Canis lupus familiaris: one gene and its partners. The protein of the gene in region 1 purifies or fractionates together with the protein of each later gene. This does not show direct contact. Links are inferred from orthologs where the notes say so. Each region holds a gene or a part of one and is shown in the gene's direction. Other genes may lie near its edges.

The links.
Region 2: the proteins of LCK (region 1) and SH2D2A purify together in Homo sapiens (co-immunoprecipitation; 3 studies listed by IntAct, with this or other methods). This does not show direct contact. The link is inferred for Canis lupus familiaris from reciprocal best matches to the Homo sapiens genes LCK and SH2D2A.
Region 3: the proteins of LCK (region 1) and UNC119 purify together in Homo sapiens (affinity purification with western blotting; 3 studies listed by BioGRID and IntAct, with this or other methods). This does not show direct contact. The link is inferred for Canis lupus familiaris from reciprocal best matches to the Homo sapiens genes LCK and UNC119.

Annotation. Positions count from the first base shown.
Region 1 is NC_049223.1:68,359,189-68,365,029, reverse strand, and holds the start of LCK (tyrosine-protein kinase Lck), read left to right. Parts: upstream 1-2,030; 5' UTR 2,031-2,188; intron 2,189-5,841. UniProt on the Homo sapiens protein: Non-receptor tyrosine-protein kinase that plays an essential role in the selection and maturation of developing T-cells in the thymus and in the function of mature T-cells. Plays a key role in T-cell antigen receptor (TCR)-linked signal transduction pathways.
Region 2 is NC_049228.1:41,165,744-41,171,759, forward strand, and holds the start of SH2D2A (SH2 domain-containing protein 2A), read left to right. Parts: upstream 1-2,005; 5' UTR 2,006-2,121; coding exon 2,122-2,155; intron 2,156-2,690; coding exon 2,691-2,905; intron 2,906-3,771; coding exon 3,772-3,956; intron 3,957-4,572; coding exon 4,573-4,662; intron 4,663-4,822; coding exon 4,823-4,991; intron 4,992-6,016. UniProt on the Homo sapiens protein: Could be a T-cell-specific adapter protein involved in the control of T-cell activation. May play a role in the CD4-p56-LCK-dependent signal transduction pathway. Could also play an important role in normal and pathological angiogenesis.
Region 3 is NC_049230.1:42,728,227-42,733,896, reverse strand, and holds the start of UNC119 (protein unc-119 homolog A), read left to right. Parts: upstream 1-1,627; 5' UTR 1,628-1,703; coding exon 1,704-1,929; intron 1,930-5,353; coding exon 5,354-5,467; intron 5,468-5,670. UniProt on the Homo sapiens protein: Involved in synaptic functions in photoreceptor cells, the signal transduction in immune cells as a Src family kinase activator, endosome recycling, the uptake of bacteria and endocytosis, protein trafficking in sensory neurons and as lipid-binding chaperone with specificity for a diverse subset of myristoylated proteins.

The DNA of each region.
Region 1 (5,841 bases):
GCATAAAGCCCCAGCATCCTGTTACCCTTGCTGCCCTAGATTGGGGAAGAGAGGTTGGAGGAAGGGGAGAAACTCACAGACCTCCAAGCTCTTCAATAAAGGCCCTCTCTGTTTCCCAACAAGGTCTCTGCAGTCATTTATTCAGGCCCAAGGTCACTGTGCGTCATCTGTAGCTAGGGCCAGGACTTCAACTGTGGGAAAGAAGGCCTGGGTTGGGGGTAGAGATGAACAGATGGATCCCCATATCTCTCCCAGCTCCAGCTCTGTCTCTCTATCTTATCAAGCTCAGAACTGGGCAAGAGCTTGAAATCCTGAATCACCCCTATGGAAGGTGACAGGTCAATGGGCAGCTGAAGAATGTAGGACCTAGTAGACCTGGGTTCAAAGCCAGCTCCACCTTGCATTTCTTTTCTTTTCGCTTTTTTTTTTTTAATTTATTTATTTGAGAGAGAGATAGAACAAGTAGAGTGGGGTGGAGGGAGAGGGAGAAGCAGACTCCCTCTGAACAGGGAGCTGGAGGTGGGGCTCATCCCAGGATCCTGAGATCATGACCTGCGCTGAAGGCAGACGCCCACCGGTTCACTGAGCCACCCAGGCGCCCCTCCACCATGCATTTCTAGCAGACCTTGAGGATGTCCCTAAGCTGGCAGCTGTTTCTTTACCTCTAAACTGGAAATGCTATTTCTTACTCCACAAGTAGTTGGGGATGTCTGAAGTGAGACAACACTTAAACACTCAAAAAACATGAACTCTCTCTTGCTGATCCTTGCTTCCGCCAGTGGTATGAATGCTGTTGTGCTGAAGGCCAGAGGGGCCTGTGCAGGGCTCTGGGTCACCATAGGTTTTTTTTACAACATATCTCCTCAGCCTTTGTTTCTGTGTTACCCTCTTTGTCTGACTTTCCAGCTCAGGCTTCCTCTTCCCCCCACCCATTTCCTGTCTCCCCCTTCCCTCTGCAGCTGAGGTGCACACAGCATCAGCTTCCACCTCACAAACCCCAACAATGCTCTGTGGGCTCCCCTCCCCCAAACTGCTCGCTAAGTGTGGGCTCCAGCAGTGGTGACTGTGACACATTTATACTTTCCTATGGGTGGGGCCAAGGCCCAGCTCTTGTGCCTCATAGAGACCGTCCAGAGTTCCTCATAACACTGATAACCTGGCACTTAACCTATGATGGGTGCCACCCTCAGCTTGGCCCAGGGGGAAGGGAGATTCTCAGCCTGCTTGCTGCTCCTGACAAGGCTTCTCTGTCCTGCCTCTAACAGAAAAGACCTGCCAGTCAGCGGCTGGCACCTGGGTGCCTGGGCAGGAGTGTTTGTCTGCCTTCCACCTGTTGCAGGAGATGGTGGCAGGCCCTACATGTCTAACAGGGGCTGTGACCTTGCCTCTTCCTGAATTAGAAGTGTCGCCCTGATGAGTGGGTGTTAGCCTGTCCTCTGCCCCCAGCAGGAGCTGTTAATCTGTCATTCTAAAGACACAAGGTGGTCTAGCCTGCTTGCTTAAACAGCTTGCTGTCCAGCCTTCTGTCTGTAAGAAGCTTACCCTCTGACTCTAGTAAAGTTGTTGTCCCTTGCCCTGAGATGGCATGACAGTTGCTAGGCAGCCGTACTAGCCTGACATCTGACTGTAGCATAGGATGTTTGGCTCCCCAACTATTTAACAGGGCTAGTGTTCTCTCCTCTGACTTGGAAATGGGGTCACCTTTGCCATCTCTAGACTGCAATGAAACGTTCACTCAGCTCTCAGACTGTGACAGCTGTGCCACTCGCCTTTCACTGAAAGCTAAGTGTGTGTCTGCTCACCCTTTGCTCACTGGGGTATAAAGGCTGCCCTTGACTCTCTTGTCCAGGTGCTCCCTGGGGGGCAGGAGGGAGGTTCCATCAAGTGTCCTCTCTTCAGCTCCAAGTGCCACCCTCAGGAGGGCCTGGAGATGGTTAGGACCCCCAGGGGCTGAGGAGTGGGGGGCTCTAACAGCAGGAAGCTTGGGGTGCCGGAGGCTTGTGGTTGGGCTGCTGGGGCCCGGTTGGCTGCGGAGCCCTCAGAAGGAGGCAGGAAGTCAGGGTGGGACGTGGGCGCGCTAAGACAGACGGTGGCCACCTTAGCAAGGGGAGCCAAAACCGTGTGTAAGCAGCCAGGCCAAGCCAGGAGGACCATGTGAATGGGACCAGAGGGCTCCCGGGCCGGGCAGGTAAGGAACACTGGGAACAGGGGTCTCAGGGCTGTGCTGGGAGCCTGACAGTGGGGGCTACACCTGGGCATGGGCATGGGGCTGGGCTCCCTGGGCATCCAGCAGCCCTACAGGCTGGGGAATAGAAAAATCTTGCTAGAGGTCAGGTGGGCCTCATACAGTTCAGCTGGATCACCTCTTGCCCCTGCCACACCGTCAGTCACTGGTCCCTACCTCACTGGGAGCATTTTCTTAGAGATCTGGCACATGGACTGTCAGGTATTTTAAAAAGGCCTCAGAAATCCCTGAGTTCAAGGGCACCTGGGTGGCTCAGTTGGTTAAGTGTCTGCCTTCAGCTCAGGTCATCATCTCAGGGTCCTGGGATCGAACCCCACATTGGGCTCCTCTGTCAGCAAGGAGTCTGCTTCCCCCTCTCCCTCTGCCCCTAACCCCACTCATGCTCACTCACTCTCGCTCTCAAATAAATAAATAAATAAATAAATAAATAAATAAATAAAATATTGAAGAAGAAAGAAAGAAAGAAAGAAGAAAGAAAGAAAGAAAGAAAGAAAGAAAGAAAGAAAGAAAGAAAGAAAGAAAGAAAGAAAGATCCCTAAGTTCAGCCCCTGATCCGATGATGGGTGAACATCTTGAGGCCCAGAGAAGGCAAGACCTCCCTCCCCACAGTACTCAGCAAGGCAGTGGCAGGGTCAGTCTCTGGGAGAGGGTGGTGGCCTAGGCTAGTACTACCCCCCACCCATGGGGCAGGGTGATAGGCTTGAGTCAGGGGACCCAGGAATCCTGTTGATTGCTGGGGCAGACCCCAGGGACAGGAATCGTCTGAGAGAGACAGAGTGAGATTGAGAGAGAGAGAGAGAGGAATCCCTCGGAACATCCGGATGGACACGTGAGAAGTGATTTTAGCCTCAGTGACCAGCAGCGCTGGAGAGGCAGAGGTGTCTTCTTCGGAAGCTGCTGGATACGTGAGGGTATGTTTATCATCTGGGATGGGCCTCCAGGGCGGAAGTGTCTGACTGGAGGTCAGGGAGTCGAAGGACAGAGAATGGGAAGGGAAGAGCAGAGGAAGGGCTATTTTTATCCGAGACTGGGGTGCAGTTGGCCCTGGGCAGAGAACGTCTGCATTTCCATCTGGAAAGTTGCCATTCCTGCCCCTGCTGAGTGTCATGGGATGCCCACCCCCTTCCTCTGGTTTCACCCCTACCCCCCACTGCATGTGTAGGACCAGTTGGTCCTACTGATTGCTGCTTCAAACCCCTGGGAAGTGGAGGCCCAGGAAGGCATAGTCAGCTACCTGCCCACCCCCTCACTTTCTTCTGAACCTTCAGTTTATGGGGGGCATCCCCATGTGAGCCAGACTTTCCAGGTTTCCCTCACCCTACCCTCCACCATTGGAATTTTTTTGACACATAGTTTCCACCTAGTCAGCAGCGTATCCCAGCCTTTCTCTTGTCCCCAAGTCCAAGGCTGGTAGCCTTTTGTGGGAACCCTCCCTGTGCTTCAGAGGGGCTCATCTACACCCTGGACTTGCACCTCTCTCATCCAGCATGTGCTGATAGATTACTCAGGGTCCCTTGCCTTCATGGCTCAGGGACAGAGGTTCTCCTCAAAGGGTTAAGGACCAAGTGATGGGCAAGAGAAAAAGGTGAGGTTCTCAGAGAACAGCCTTCCCTCAGGTGATCTGGAAGGCTCCCTGGAAGTCAACACAGTTCTGAGAAGGACAAAGGCCCATTTTGGAAAGAGGTTATGACATAGCCAAGGGCACTGTCCTTGGTTTCTGTTTCTTGAGAAGCAAGAGAATAGAGCAAGACCAAACACCAGACAGTTAATGGACATGGTATAGTGCAAAGAACATGGGTTTCAGGGTTAGGCCAACCCAGATACAGTTTTGGTCCTGGCATTTCCCTGAACAATATTGACTTCATCCTCCAGACTCCCAACTCCAGATCACTAATCTGTGAAGAGGCAATAATAAATCTCTCCCTTACAGAATGCTTGTGGGGACCTGTGACATGCCCTGGGTTGTACCTGACACATTGTAGGTACTTAACAGAGGTTAGGTAGTCCCTCCCCTGTAAATAGTGCACCAAAGGGAAGACTGTTCACACCCAGAATTACACCTATTCAGCACCTTGGCTGGCCAGTGCACCACCATTCCCTCACACTTGTGGTGTGGCTTTGCAAATAAGCTTGTTTCCTGTGTTTAGTAGGAGTGAGAACTCTAAGCTGAGCCACAGAGTCTGCTCAGCGTTAGATGAGAGTTCCCCACACACAACTTCACACTCACCCTATCCCAAACACGAGACATATCACCAGAAAATATATGTGTGCACGAATGGGCAGAGGCAGAAGCAGGTTCTATACACACAACATACACTGGATCTTAACAAATCTATACACACCCCCACAGGTCGGTGACTTCAAGGCCAAGCTCAGTTCAGTGAAAGCAATGCTGAGGGGAGCTGGGGGTGGGGGTGGGATGGGGGCCGGGAGGACCAACATACCATCCAGAGAGGTGGCCTCCAATAACAAACTTTGGTGTTGGCTTTAATGTAGCTGGCGCTGCATTTCCAACGCTTGCTCTTTTTTTCTTTTTTTTTTTTTTTTTTTTTTTTTTTTTTAATAAAGATTTTATTTATTTATTCATGAGAGAGAGAGAGAGAGGCAGAGACACAGGCAGAGGGAGAAGCAGGCTCCATGCACTGGGAGCCCGATGTGGGATTCGATCCAGGGTCTCCAGGATCGCGCCCCGGGCCAAAGGCAGGCGCCAAACCGCTGCGCCACCCAGGGATCCCTCTTTTTTTCTTTTTTTAAGATTTTATTAATTTATTTGAGAGAGAACGAACAGCGAGGAGGGGCAGAGAGAGAGGGAGAGAGAGAGAGAGAAGTAGACTCCCCGCTGAGCAGTAAGCCTGGATCCGGGGCTTGATCCCAGGACTAGAGATCATGACCTGAGCCAAAGGCAGATGCCCAACCGACTGAGCCACCCAGGTGCCCTTCCAATGCTTGTTCTGAAGAATACCAGTTCCATGAGGCACCTGGAAAGAGAATCATTCTGGGGCCAAATCAACATGGCCTCAGCTACAGACTGGCCCATATTAACTTCTCAGTCCAAGTCAGCTTGTTAGCACTCTGAGAGTTCCCCCAGAGAAGGGGCCTGATCCATTCTGTCTAACTTAGCGTTTCCCAAACTACTTTGGACACAGAACCCTTTTTTCCTGGATGACCCATTCCACGCCTACCTTTGAGACAAGGAGAAGAATGGAAGGGTAGGCTATGCAGTGAATCTCCTCAAATGATTGTGTCTCTTGGCAGAGTTTCTGCGTTGGCGGTGGTTTGTTGTTTTTTGTTTTTCAATTACAAAATTAGCACATGGCTGTCGTTAAAAACTCAAACAGTACAGAGGCATAAAAAGAAATATAAAAAAGCAGCCCCCTCTGATTTCACTTCTGGGATGTGTTCACTGAGAACGATTTGGTGTGCATTCTTCCAGATTTTCCTATGAACAGCTGCTGAAAAGGGTAGTGGTTCAAAGCTTAGTCTCTGGAGGCAAGTAGACCAAGGTTCAGCTCACTACTCCGCCACTTATTTGTTTGTTATGAGGCCTCACACAAATAGCTTTACGCTGTTTGTGCCTCAGTTTTTGCATGTGTAAA
Region 2 (6,016 bases), on another chromosome or scaffold:
AGACAGTGGTTAACAGTGACCATCATGGTGCCAGGAACTGGGAGCAAAGAACCAGTACCTGAGCCACTCCTCTAAGTTGTACTCTCTGCTGGCTCAGCGCCCACTTACTGGTGGAATCCCACAGCCGCCCCTCCAGAGAGGAGCATCTGAAGCTGGGAGAGATGGAGGGACTGCTATTTTGACCCCACCACCGGGGTAGAGGGGGACAAGACACAGGCAAAGGGGAGAGACAGTCAGAGCCTCAGAGAAACTAATCCTCTCCCAACAACCTCCGTCCCAGGAGATGTTGAGGCCCATACAAGAGCCAAGAGCTGGGGTGCATTTGGACAGAGCTGCGGTGAATGGTCAGCTGTACCTGTGTCTGACATCCCTGCACCTGCTCAGGCTGCAGGCCTGCGCCCAGGCCTCCAGACAAAGAGCGTGGGAGTGATTCCATTTGGAAGGTGAAAAATGCTTCTGTTGCAATCATCACAAAGTGCACCAAAGTGGCGGGCAGGGTTTCCAGAATTGGGCTGTGCTGAGTGGACTCCCAGCCGCACAGCTGAGCACAGAGCAGAACCCTGGCGTCTGATGGGGCCATGGAGGGCACAGTCCCACCCCCGGCTCATTACAATACAGTGAAGGGCTTGGGGAACATGTTGAGAGCACCAGACTCATCACCAACCCCGGGGGGCTGGACCAGGGAAAGGCCACATGTTTCAGGAAGAGACAGCAGGCAGCTGGGGGGAGGTAAGGTCCTGCGGTGTGGGCAGCCGTGTAGGGCATTGACGGTGGGGAAAGCGCTCCCCTGCCTGGAGCTGATGGGGAAGTAACTTCGGGCTGTAAGCTGGGTGTCCAGACTCCTTCCTGGGCAGAGAGCAGCAGATAATCCAGCTGCAGACCCTAAGCCAGCCCCTGCCCCAGCCACTCAGTCCCCTAAGGCTGCCCACACGCACGTATGCATGCTCATTCCTTCTTATGGGTGTTTGTAATGCTGGTCCCTCTTCTAGAAACACCTTTGCCCACCTTCTTCCACTCACACCACTGTGTCCTCATGGGAAGTGTCTGTTGGCAGGCCTGGCTCCCCCACCTAACATCTTGAAGCAAGATCCTTTTTCTCTCTGTGTTCTTGGACCAACAACAGTGCCTGGCACCTAGTCCTGGACTGTTGGCTTAAATCATGGTGAAGTTAGTAAAGGAAGGTCTAGTTTCTAATCCCAACTTCTGAGACACTGAAACAACTGGCCATAGCACTTAACTTTCCTGAGCTTCAGTTTATTCCTCTGGAAATGGGGGTAATGTTCCCTGCCCATATATTTGTGAGGATCAAATGAGCGAGCAATGGGATTGGTCTCTGGTGTGGCAGCAAATATAGGCACAGGGAGAGTTTAAGATGTCAGCATTGATGTTATAATAACTGCTCACAATGTTGCTTCGGATCATGACCTCCATCCTCTGGATTCCCCTCCTTCCTCCAGATTGTCCCTCCACCCCCCAGGATTGCCGGATTTTGCCCTAACCCAGTCCTATTATCTGCTGGAAGGTGAAGCCAGCCCCCCTTCCTTCCCACCCACTTCATCTCAAAGATTTCGTATGACCTCAGAAAGTCCTTCCAGAAGTCTTCCCCACATTCTTCCTGTTGCAGCCCTGCCCGCGTCACTCCTCATATGTCCTAAAAGCACAATCCTGAGTAGGAATCTCCCAGGACCCCAAATATCCTTTTGAAGTTGACATCCCCATTGCTGCTGCTCAGAACAAGCTGAGGGGGAGACAGAGAGGGAGGCAGGGAGAGGAAAGGTGGTCCCAGATTGGAGCGAGGGAGTAGAGGGAGAAACAGGAGGGATGGAGGTCAGACAGCAGGAAGGACCTCCCAATACCCAACAGCCAAGGGCAGAATGACACAACTACCCACCACCACAGCATCACACCATCATCACCTTCAGGGGCCTGGCTTCCGGAGGAGGGACGAGTGTCTTACGGCTTTCCATGACGTGGGTCCTCTGCCAGGGTTAGGGCTGTGGGTAAGGCGACATTTCCTGCCCTCGGGGGCTGGGGTGAGAGAGATGAGTTGCTGAGTGTGCACATCTTTTGAGAGCACATACACACACCCTGCTCCAGGGGCTCAGTTCCTAGCCTGGCTCCATGGAGCTCCCCCTGGCCCAGATCTGTCCCCAAGGTAAGTGCGAAGCCTGGATGGCGGGTGGAAGGACATCCAGACCCTCAGATCCCCTGCTGTCTCCAGGCCTGAGTTCCCACTTCAGGGGTGAAGGGCCCACCCCAAGCCAGAACTGGCTGGGCAGATGGGCAGGGAGCCTACAACTACTTCTCCTGGCGCCAGTCGGCTCAGCCCTGGGGACATAGGTGGCAGGGTCTGCTGAGCGCTCCTTAGCAGAGGGAGGGCGATGAGCAGAGGATCTGGAACATAAAGAGCAGAGGTCTGCCCTGAAGAGACACACCACCCTACCCCCTCGCTGTGCCCCGCACCCCACACCTGCGCTGTGGGGCTCTCTGCTTCCCCATGCCCATCTCCCTGCCAGCTCGTGCCTCCTGGACTCCTTACTCCTCCCCCTTGAGAGACCCCCAGTTGGCACTGTCCCTGTCCTCTCATCAGAGGCACACAGAGCTCCTGGGAGCCCGGGGGAGAGGTAGCCTCTCACCCAGACATCCCCCCTCTTCCCCATCCCCCTACCCGGACCTCTTTGTGCTAACAGGAAGTGGCAAAGCCCCTGCCCCTACCTTCAGCACCTTCCAGCCCCTGGAGCTGCCCCGCAGGAGCTGCCAGGACCTGGGCTTGCTCCAGGGGCCCAGGATCCAGGCCCTGAAGGCTGAGGAGGCCCAGCCCAGCCCCAGGGTCCCAGCTGTCCACACTGCGGTAAGGGGGAACCCGGCTGGCACCACTTCCTCCTTGGCTCCCCTCCTCCCATCGGTGAGGACTTGAGGGTAGATAAAGGCCAATAGGGGAAAAGCAGGAATGATCTGGGGCTGCCTATAGGGCTAGGGCATGGAAGGAAGGAGGGAGGGAAGGGAGATGGGGAGGGAGGGAAGAAGGGAGGAAGGGAAGGAGAGAGGGAGGGAGGGAGGGAGGGAGAGAGAAGATGGGGAGGAGGGAGGGAGATAGGGAGGAGAGATGAGGAGGAGGGAGAGGAGATGGAGAGAAGGGAGAGGGAGGGGAGATGGGGGGGTAGGAGGGGAGATGGGGAGTACCTCCTTCATTCATTGCATTGTCCCCTTACCATCCCTGGGATGCACAGGCTGAGTCTGAGGGTAACCAGGGTACAGGGTACCAAGTCCCAGAAGCAGACCTCTGCATCTCTGTCCCTGACTTTCACCTGCCCAGTGCGTCTGGGCCTCCGTCCCTCTCACCCATGGGGCCATTAGAAAGTCCTCCCTATGATCCAGCTCAGCCCCTCCCACAGGAGGCTGAGTCCTCCCTCGTTCTGTCCTCTGGGGTGAGAGGTTGTAGCATCATCTCCCTGATCCTGCAGGCCAGGGAATGACTGCCTGTCCTTCCAGAAGCCTCACACTCAGGTTAAGAGCTAACTGCTACTGGGTAAAAGGCCTGCAGGCCCAGAGGGAAGTGGGCAGAAATTCCCTGGAAAAAAAAGCAAGTGCAGCTGAAGAAGGGGTTTTAAGCTGGACCCTGAAAGGCACCTCCTGGGTAGTTATAGCCTAGAATGGGCAACTGGGATGGGGAGCAGCGGTGAGGCTGCAGAGGCACAGCTGGCTGACGGTCAGGAGGAAGCCCATACATCATGGCTAACCCCCCCTCCTTGAACCTTCCCCCTGTTTCAGGCATCTCCTCAACCCCAAGAGGCTGCCTCTAGCCCAGAGGATGCCGAGAAGGCTGATGAGGTGTTTGGGGAAGGAGGCCAGTCCCTGCAGGCCGAGACCCGGGCTTGGTTCCAGAAGACCCAGGCCCACTGGCTCCTGCAGCACGGGGCAGCCCCAGCCTGGTTCCACGGCTTCATCACCCGGAGGTGAGTCACAGAGGTGGCGGAAACAGGCCCAGAGAGGGGCAGGGCAAGTCCTGGGGCCCAGGCCCAGCAGAGTGTGGAGGCTGCGAGTCCAACCATGAGTCCTGGAGGCTCCCAGGCCAGTGTCTGAGGCATCTGTCCTGGAGGAGGTCACCAGGGAGGCTACAGGCACCCCCTCCCCCCGCTCTGGATTTCAGCTTCGGCTCCTGTCTCTGGCCCTCCAGACCTCATGGTCCCCCCCAGCCCCGCCCCGACCCCCAGATCTCCTGACCTTTCTGCCTCACCAGCCTCTGCTCTTCCTTGTCTCTCTGGTAGGCCCTTCCTCCTGCATCCCTCAGCTTTGCCTCCTCTGCTCCAGTTCAGCCCATGACCTTGGAAATCTACAAGCCTCTTGTCACCCCAGGGTGTCCTCCAGGATGAGGCAGGGATGAAACCTCTCCTGGGTGGGACCTCTGGCCCCTGTGTTCTCCAGGCCCTGCACCTGGGAGCAGACCCCACTTCTCTCTGCTATCTTCTTCACCCTTCTACGTCACCTGAGTCTGCTTGGCTGGGGGTTGGGGTCTGCCTTGAGAGTCCAGGACAGGCAGGAGGCTGGAGAAGTCTTCTCCACCACCCACAGGGAGGCTGAGAGGCTGCTGGAGACCAAGCCTGAGGGATGCTACTTGGTACGGTTCAGTGAGAGCGCTGTGACCTTTGTGCTGACCTACAGGTGAGGGGGCAAGAGCAGGGGCAGTGCCCTGGCCACCCCAGCGGGGTGGGCTGGGTGCTCCTGATGCAGAAAGGGCAGGGGCCAGCTGGGAAGGAGAGAGACCCTGGCCTGGGTGGCTAGCCAGGCCTGAGGTGGCTCTGATCCCATGGGTGCCCTCCAGGAGCCGGACTCGCTGCCGCCACTTCCTGCTGGCCCAGCTTGGGGATGGGCGCCACGTGGTGCTAGGCGAGGACAGCGCTCACGTGAGGCTGCAGGACCTGCTGCAACACTACACAGCGTGCCCGCTCAGCCCCTATGGGGAGAAACTCACCGAGCCCCTGGCCCGCCAGGTACCCCCAGCCCCTGGCCCCAGGGACCCTGGCCACCACCTCATCCCCCCCTGCGATGCAGCCATAGGTCTCTTGTCCACCCTGTGCCCCTAGGATCCCCTCGAGTGCTGGGGAGGGGTCCTTCACGGATGAGCTCAGCCACACAAAGACAGCAGGCACGTGGGGTCATTTGTGTTTTCAAGTAAGGACTATTTACTGAGTAGGGGCTACAGGGCTACAGCACAATGCTCCTGCTGGCAGGCCCTGGAAATAGAACCATGAACAAGACAGGCCTCAGGCCCACAAAGCTCACTTACCAGCAGCAAAGACAGATGAATAGGAGCAATCAAGTATGAGAAGAGAGGAAATGCAGAGTGAGTGCCACCAGGGCCTGTGTGGCAGGGAGCACACCAGGGAGTGCCTCCCCCCAGAGTGGTCAGGCAGTCCGAGGACACAGGTGCCAGCCAGCGATCAGGGTCTGGCAATACAGCAGGAACAACTGATCAGAACAGCCCTGCCTTCTGGACCTTATATTCTAGTGTGGAGACGGTGCTCACATAAGACAGAGAAACAGATAATCTGTAGTATGTCCAGTAATGATAAATGCATGCTAATAAGACAGGGAGTGACAGGGTTGGGGTTGTTTTACACAGGGACACCAAGGAAAGCTACTCTGGTAAGGAGACATTTGAAGGGAGGCCTGGATGAAGTAAGGGAAGGAGCCATGCAGGCAACTAGAGGAAAAACCTTCTAGGCAGGAGGAACAGCAGGTACAAAGGTCCTGCGGTAGGAAGCTGCCCGAGGTGTTTGAGGAAGACTGACAGCAGTCAGGAAACTAGCATAGGTGGATGAATTGGACATGAGAGCAGCGATGAAAGAAGGGAACCCTGTATGTAGACTCTCACATGGATTTCGGATTTTATTCTAAGTGAGGGGGGATGGCACCACACCCCCTGATCATGATCAGGACTGACATGATCTGGCAAGTTTGGGGGTGGGGCAAGGAGGACAGATGGAGAAACTACAATACTTCAGGTGAGCTGGTG
Region 3 (5,670 bases), on another chromosome or scaffold:
GGACAGCATTTCAGTGAGAAGCCTTCCTTTCTGGCCAGGATGGAAGGTGTTAGATTGAGAGGCACATAAAGGGGGCCTGCCGTGAAGGACTTGGCTCCTATAACCAAAGTATAGCACTCTAAGCAGGGTTCATTTTCCCTTCCCTTCCCATCTCTCTAGCTCAGATTCTCCCCCAACCTTTGTGCCCCCCCCCCCCCCCCAGAAGATGCATCATTTGGGTCTTATCTGGCTTGAAATTGAAGGCCCTCCCCTGTCTCCCTCCAGGGCAGGGACAGTTTGTTGTGCTTCTGTCCTGTTCCTTGCAGTCCTCTTGCACTCAGAGGGAGCATTAGGGGAAAGCCCTGGGTCAGATTCTAGCCCCTTCCCCTCCATGCTTCTCTCCAACCCCTCAGGGAGAACCTTAGCACTGCTCTCACGGAAGGGAGCAGGTCACCCCTGGGACCTTCTCCCTTCCTCCCCTCCCTCCTGGCTGGCTGTGCCTACTGGGTGTAGCCTGATGCTGCGCATGTGGCAGAGTTTCCCTTCACCCTTTTATAGAAGTAGTGTGGTGCAGTGGAGAAGGTTTCAGACTTGGGATCGAGCATGCCTGAATTCAGATGTTTCTGTACCTTCTGCACTTATCATCTGGGGAGCATTGGATAAGCCTCTTAATCTCCCTGAGCCTCAGTTTTTCACTTGTTAAAATAGCACCAATGATATCTCACAAGGTGGTTATGAGGATTAAATGTGATAAACATATGAAAGTGTCTGGCACATGGTAAGCTCTCAATAAACATTGGTTGACTGAATTGAAATGATATGAAGTATGAGCAAACCTTTCATTCTTCATTTGTGTCTAAGTAATGGTTTCCTAGTATCTGACCTGGACTCACAGGTCTACCTTGCTTCCACCTGGCCATGCGCCCTACAAGGAGGCTGTGCCTCTCTGCCCTGTGGGCCCTGTAGTGAAGTGCCTAGGCTGTTGTCCCTCAGCATGTCCAGGGTTTCACAACAAAGCTGTTAGCATATACTGCTTTTTTTCGCAGGAGGTCTGGAAGACAATAGCTTGTACCAGTGTAAGCCCTCAAATACTCATTCATAAACTCAGAAAAAGAATATGTTAAGCACAGGCTGCAGTAGCCACTGTGTTAAATGCTAGGTATTATAGAGAACAAAGACAGGATCTCTACTTTCATGGAACTGATCTTTTGGGGAAAGAGTCAGTGAACAAGTAAAATTAATTTCAGATAATGCATTAGAAGGAAAAAACAGGCTGATCAGACAGTGACTGAGGGGTAGTACTTTAGATTGGGTGTGAGGGGGGCCTTTGAGCAAATGACATTTGAACTGAGACCAGAAGAGGAAGCCATCTGGGGGAAGCACATCCCAGGCAAAGATCCTGAGGCGGGAACTTGCTTGAGGGGCAGACAGAAGGACAGAGTGGCGCGAGTAAGGAAGAGAGGTAGTGATCCCTTCAAGGACCTAGCAGGACCTAGCGGAAAAAATGAATGAAGCCCAAAGCGAGGCCCCACCCGGCCCCGGGGGAGTGGACCCAGGTTGGCGTTCGCAGGGGTGGGCGGGGCCCGTGCCTGGCCCACCCCCGGGGGCGGGGCGGTACCTGGGGCCCTGGCCGGGGGCGGGGCTGCGGACGCTCCCCCTTCTCTCGGCTCCAGCCGGCGCAGGCAGCTGCCGCGGCAGCAAGCGAGCGGTGGCCCCGCGAGGCCATGAAGGTGAAAAAGGGCGGCGGTGGGGCTGGGACGGGGGCGGAGCCCGCTTCTGGGGCCCCTGGCCCGAGCGTGGAGCCCAAGCCCGAGCCGCAGCTGCAGGCGGAATCCGAGTCCGGGTCCGAGTCAGAGCCGGAGGCTGGCCCGGGGCCCAGGCCGGGGCCGCTGCAGAGGAAGCAGCGGATCGGGCCAGAGGACGTGCTGGGGCTGCAGCGGATCACGGGCGGTGAGCACTGGCGAGGCAGCGCCGCCCGCGGCGGGAGGGCGGGAGGGAGAGCGCGCGGGAGGGGGCACTCGCTGTGCGCCGTGCGCTGAGCCTGGGCCCCCGCCCCCTTTCCCGCCCTACCCCCCACTCCCGCCTCCCCTCCCCCACCCGGGTACCCCTCGCTTGAATCCCCTACCCTTCTGCCTTCCAGCCTGAGATCTCCTTGTACCCGCCTTTTCTCCCTTTAGATATTTATTTTCACCCTACTCCTATCTTTCTGAGGAGGCCATCCCCCTTTCCCATGGTGGAGGTGAGGCAGCAGCTGCAACTGTGACCCCTTCCTCATAGAGTCTTCCGAGCCCTTTGAGGCTTTTCTCTGCAATAATGAGGATGGATGCTGAGTGTATTCTGTCCTCAGTCCTCACCCTGGAGGCTAGGAGGAGGCTGAGCTACTTAGGTGACCTTAAGACCCTCCAGTCGCCCTGATCATTAAATGCCGTCACTCCAGATTACCCAGAGAGTCTGGGGCCATCCTCCAACCCCAGGAAAGGACTGGGCAGGAAACCTCAGTGGGTTGGCTCTGGGCCCTCTCAAGGGAGTAGGTTAATGCCCTCCATCCCCCTTAACCTGTCTTCTTCCGGGAGGCCTAGTCTCCCACTGTGGTTAAGTTTCTGAGCTGAACTGCCTGGGTTGAAGTCCCAGCTATGCCATGTAATTGGCAGTGTGACCTTGGGTGAGTAATTTCACCTCTGAGCATGTTCATCTGTAAAATGGGGGATAATGGCACCTATTATATAGGGCTGTTGTGAAAACTAATTTTCCGATTTTGCATAGTGCCTCGCATGCTGTGCATGCTCTGTAAATAGGGCTCTTTTGTCAATAGTACTGAAGGCCCCACAGGACTGCTTATGGCTGCTGCCTGGAGGCAGATAACTGGGCATTCAGGACAAGGGAGGAGGTTGCCAGGCAGAGAACAAGGGCTACGAAGCCTCATGGCAGAGGCAGTGGCTGAGCCTCAAAAACAGGCATTTGGAGAGAGAGTGGTCCTCCAATGTAGTTTCATTTATCAGAATCCTGCACTGGCCCCTCTGTGAGAGCACTGTTGAGACCCCTCTTTGGTGGAAGGGGGCAGGTGCTGGAGCAGACCTGAGCTCTGGAGCTGCAGGAGCAGCAGAGCCCAAGGCTGCCAGACAGCAGTGGAGGGGACTGTAATGGCAGGTCTAGGCCTGTGCATCTGGGTCCCTGGGGGACCAGCTTCTCCTCTCTGAGCCAGGCAGCAGCCATTCTTGGCGGGGCCCCCAGAACACTGAACTGCCTCGCCCAAGCAGACACTAGTAGAGGGAGGGGTCCTGGACCAGTTTGATGGTAGTGCCAATTGAGCTATAACTGGCAATGGCAGCATTTAGAATGAGGGCAGAACTTATAGGATGTTTAGAGGTCAAGCTGACCTGTCTGGGTCTTAGGTAACTTTAGAGACTATTTTGTAACTGTAGGGGCTTCCAGCCCATGTACTGCCATGTGTCTCCTAATTTGGAGGAAATCCGTAGTCCTTAGAGATGGGGCATCTGTGGGAGATGAGTGGGGGAAGGGGCTTCATGGGAACCTTTCCTCTATAGAAGCTGAGACCTGGGTTCCAGGGATCTCCATCCTGGCACCCCCTGGTCTCTTTTGACCCTAATCACACAGGTCTGAGGTTTGTTCTTCCTGGATTACCAGCCCTGAATCCAGCTTAGGAAGCTATTTGTAGCAGAGGGAAGGGGCGGGGGGGGGGGGGGGGCAGTTTTGTTCTGAGCCTTAAGCCACTCTGTCCCTTTATCTGCCCTGACCCCGGGCAGGCTTCATCCTTCCCTTGGCAGAAGGGAGGGTGTGGGTGTGGCATTCTGAGCAATGGGCATCCCACTTCCCTCACTTCTTCTAAGGACAAAAGGGCTGCTTATTCAAGGTGTAGTAGAAGAGACTGAGGGCGGACTCTAAGCACTCATTCCTGCATGACAGGAGAGGCTCCCAAAGCGAGAATGTGGAGAGGGAAGGGCTTTCCAGGGAGCTGGAGTCTGCTCCTTGTGCCCTGCACCTTCTCTCTACATCTTGGGACTAGTGCATACATTCTGTGAAAATAAGGTGTGTACAGGGTGAGGTCAGGGCTGCCCACATGTGTTCCTCTTCCTCTCTCCCCACTGTGGATTGTGGTGGACAGGCCAGAGATCAGGCCCTTCCCCAAGCCCTGCTGGACCTTAGGGTGCCAGGAGGCTCCCGGGAGGGCTTCCTGGAGGGGGCTGCCCCAAGCTTAGGGAAGAGAGAGTGACCTTACATTCACTTCCTCTTCCTGCCCCAGAGGAATAGGAGGTGGCCTAGGGGCCTGGTGGGTGATTTCCGGGCCTCTATGGGGAGGATGTGATGCTGTGCAGGCTGATAGCACCAGACCCAACAGTGTTTCTTTCTGTTTGTTGCCAAGACCTCCCTGAGCACTTGTAGTTGCTGGTGCAGAAGTGAGGGGTGGATCAGGCCCTGATATTCCTAAGCTTCCTCAGCCACAGCTCACCACTGTTCCTGGTTCCTCTTCTGGGCCTGAGGACTCCCTTTCCCCCATGCACACCCCCACGCGCACCTGCCACACCCTCTTCCTGGCTAAACTTGGTACTCTTCTCTATGGGGGTAGCTCAGAGCTAAGGCTGGGTAGATGACCTTCAAGCGGGTTCCCTTGGTTTGCTAAGACTTCCCACTTGGAGATCCAAGGGGATAGGAGCAAAGGTGGCCCCCTTCCTCCAATATTCGAGGCTCTGGGCTTGAGTCAGCAGAGCTTTGGCTAAGCTGCTTAAGGGAGCTGGGCTTATATAAGCTGCTTACGGGGAGACGAGGGGGTTAGGGGTGAGGAGGAACAGGAGTGGGGTTGTTTTCCTACCCTAGCACCACCCAGGTCAGGGAAGTCCTTGCCTGACATTCCTAGATGTAGCACCAGGGGCAGCTATGTGCTGGAGGTGGGGCTGTTCTCCAGGGAAGCACTGTGGATATCTTGAGGTTCTCAAAAGCAGGGCTGTATCTTCCCTCTCGTGCTGGGACTCCTCATTAGATCAGAGCCCAACTGGCTCAAAGTCACCAAGCTCGCCCTGGCAGGGCAGAGGCTGGAATAAGGCCGCGCAACTCCAGGATGGGAGAGAAACCGCTGAGAGGAGGTGATCTCATCTTCCACCTTTCTCACCTTGGCCCTTCCTGACCTCAGAGATCTCTGAGGAGAGAGCTGTTTGCCTCTCATTAGATCCAAGTGACAGAGCTGTGTATCCTCCACATTCTGGGTGCATCCTCAAGGCAGGGGCTCCATTCTCACTTTCTGGAAGGCAGTGTGATCTTTCAGAACCAGAGAAAGTAGTAGCTAGTCTGGGGTCCCAGCAAGGCTGAGCAGGGTCTTCAGGGCGAGTCCCTCTTTTGCTTAGCTGCCTGTCTTCCCTAGATTACCTATGCTCTCCCGAGGAGAATATCTACAAGATTGACTTCATCAGATTCAAGATTCGAGACATGGACTCAGGCACTGTTCTCTTTGAAATCAAGAAGCCCCCAGCCTCAGGTGAGTGGGCTGGGTGGGTAGGCTATGGACAGGGGGATGAGGTGGACGAGGGCTGTGAAGTGGGTTGCCCAGGGAGTCCTCAAACTGCAGAAGAGTCAGAGCAGTGGCCCTCTCCTCTTCTTTCCCATCTGTTTCTGGGGCTGGACATCTTGGGAGGACAGTTTGGCCCCTTCAGTCCCTGCCAGCCTGCCCTCTGCAGGCCT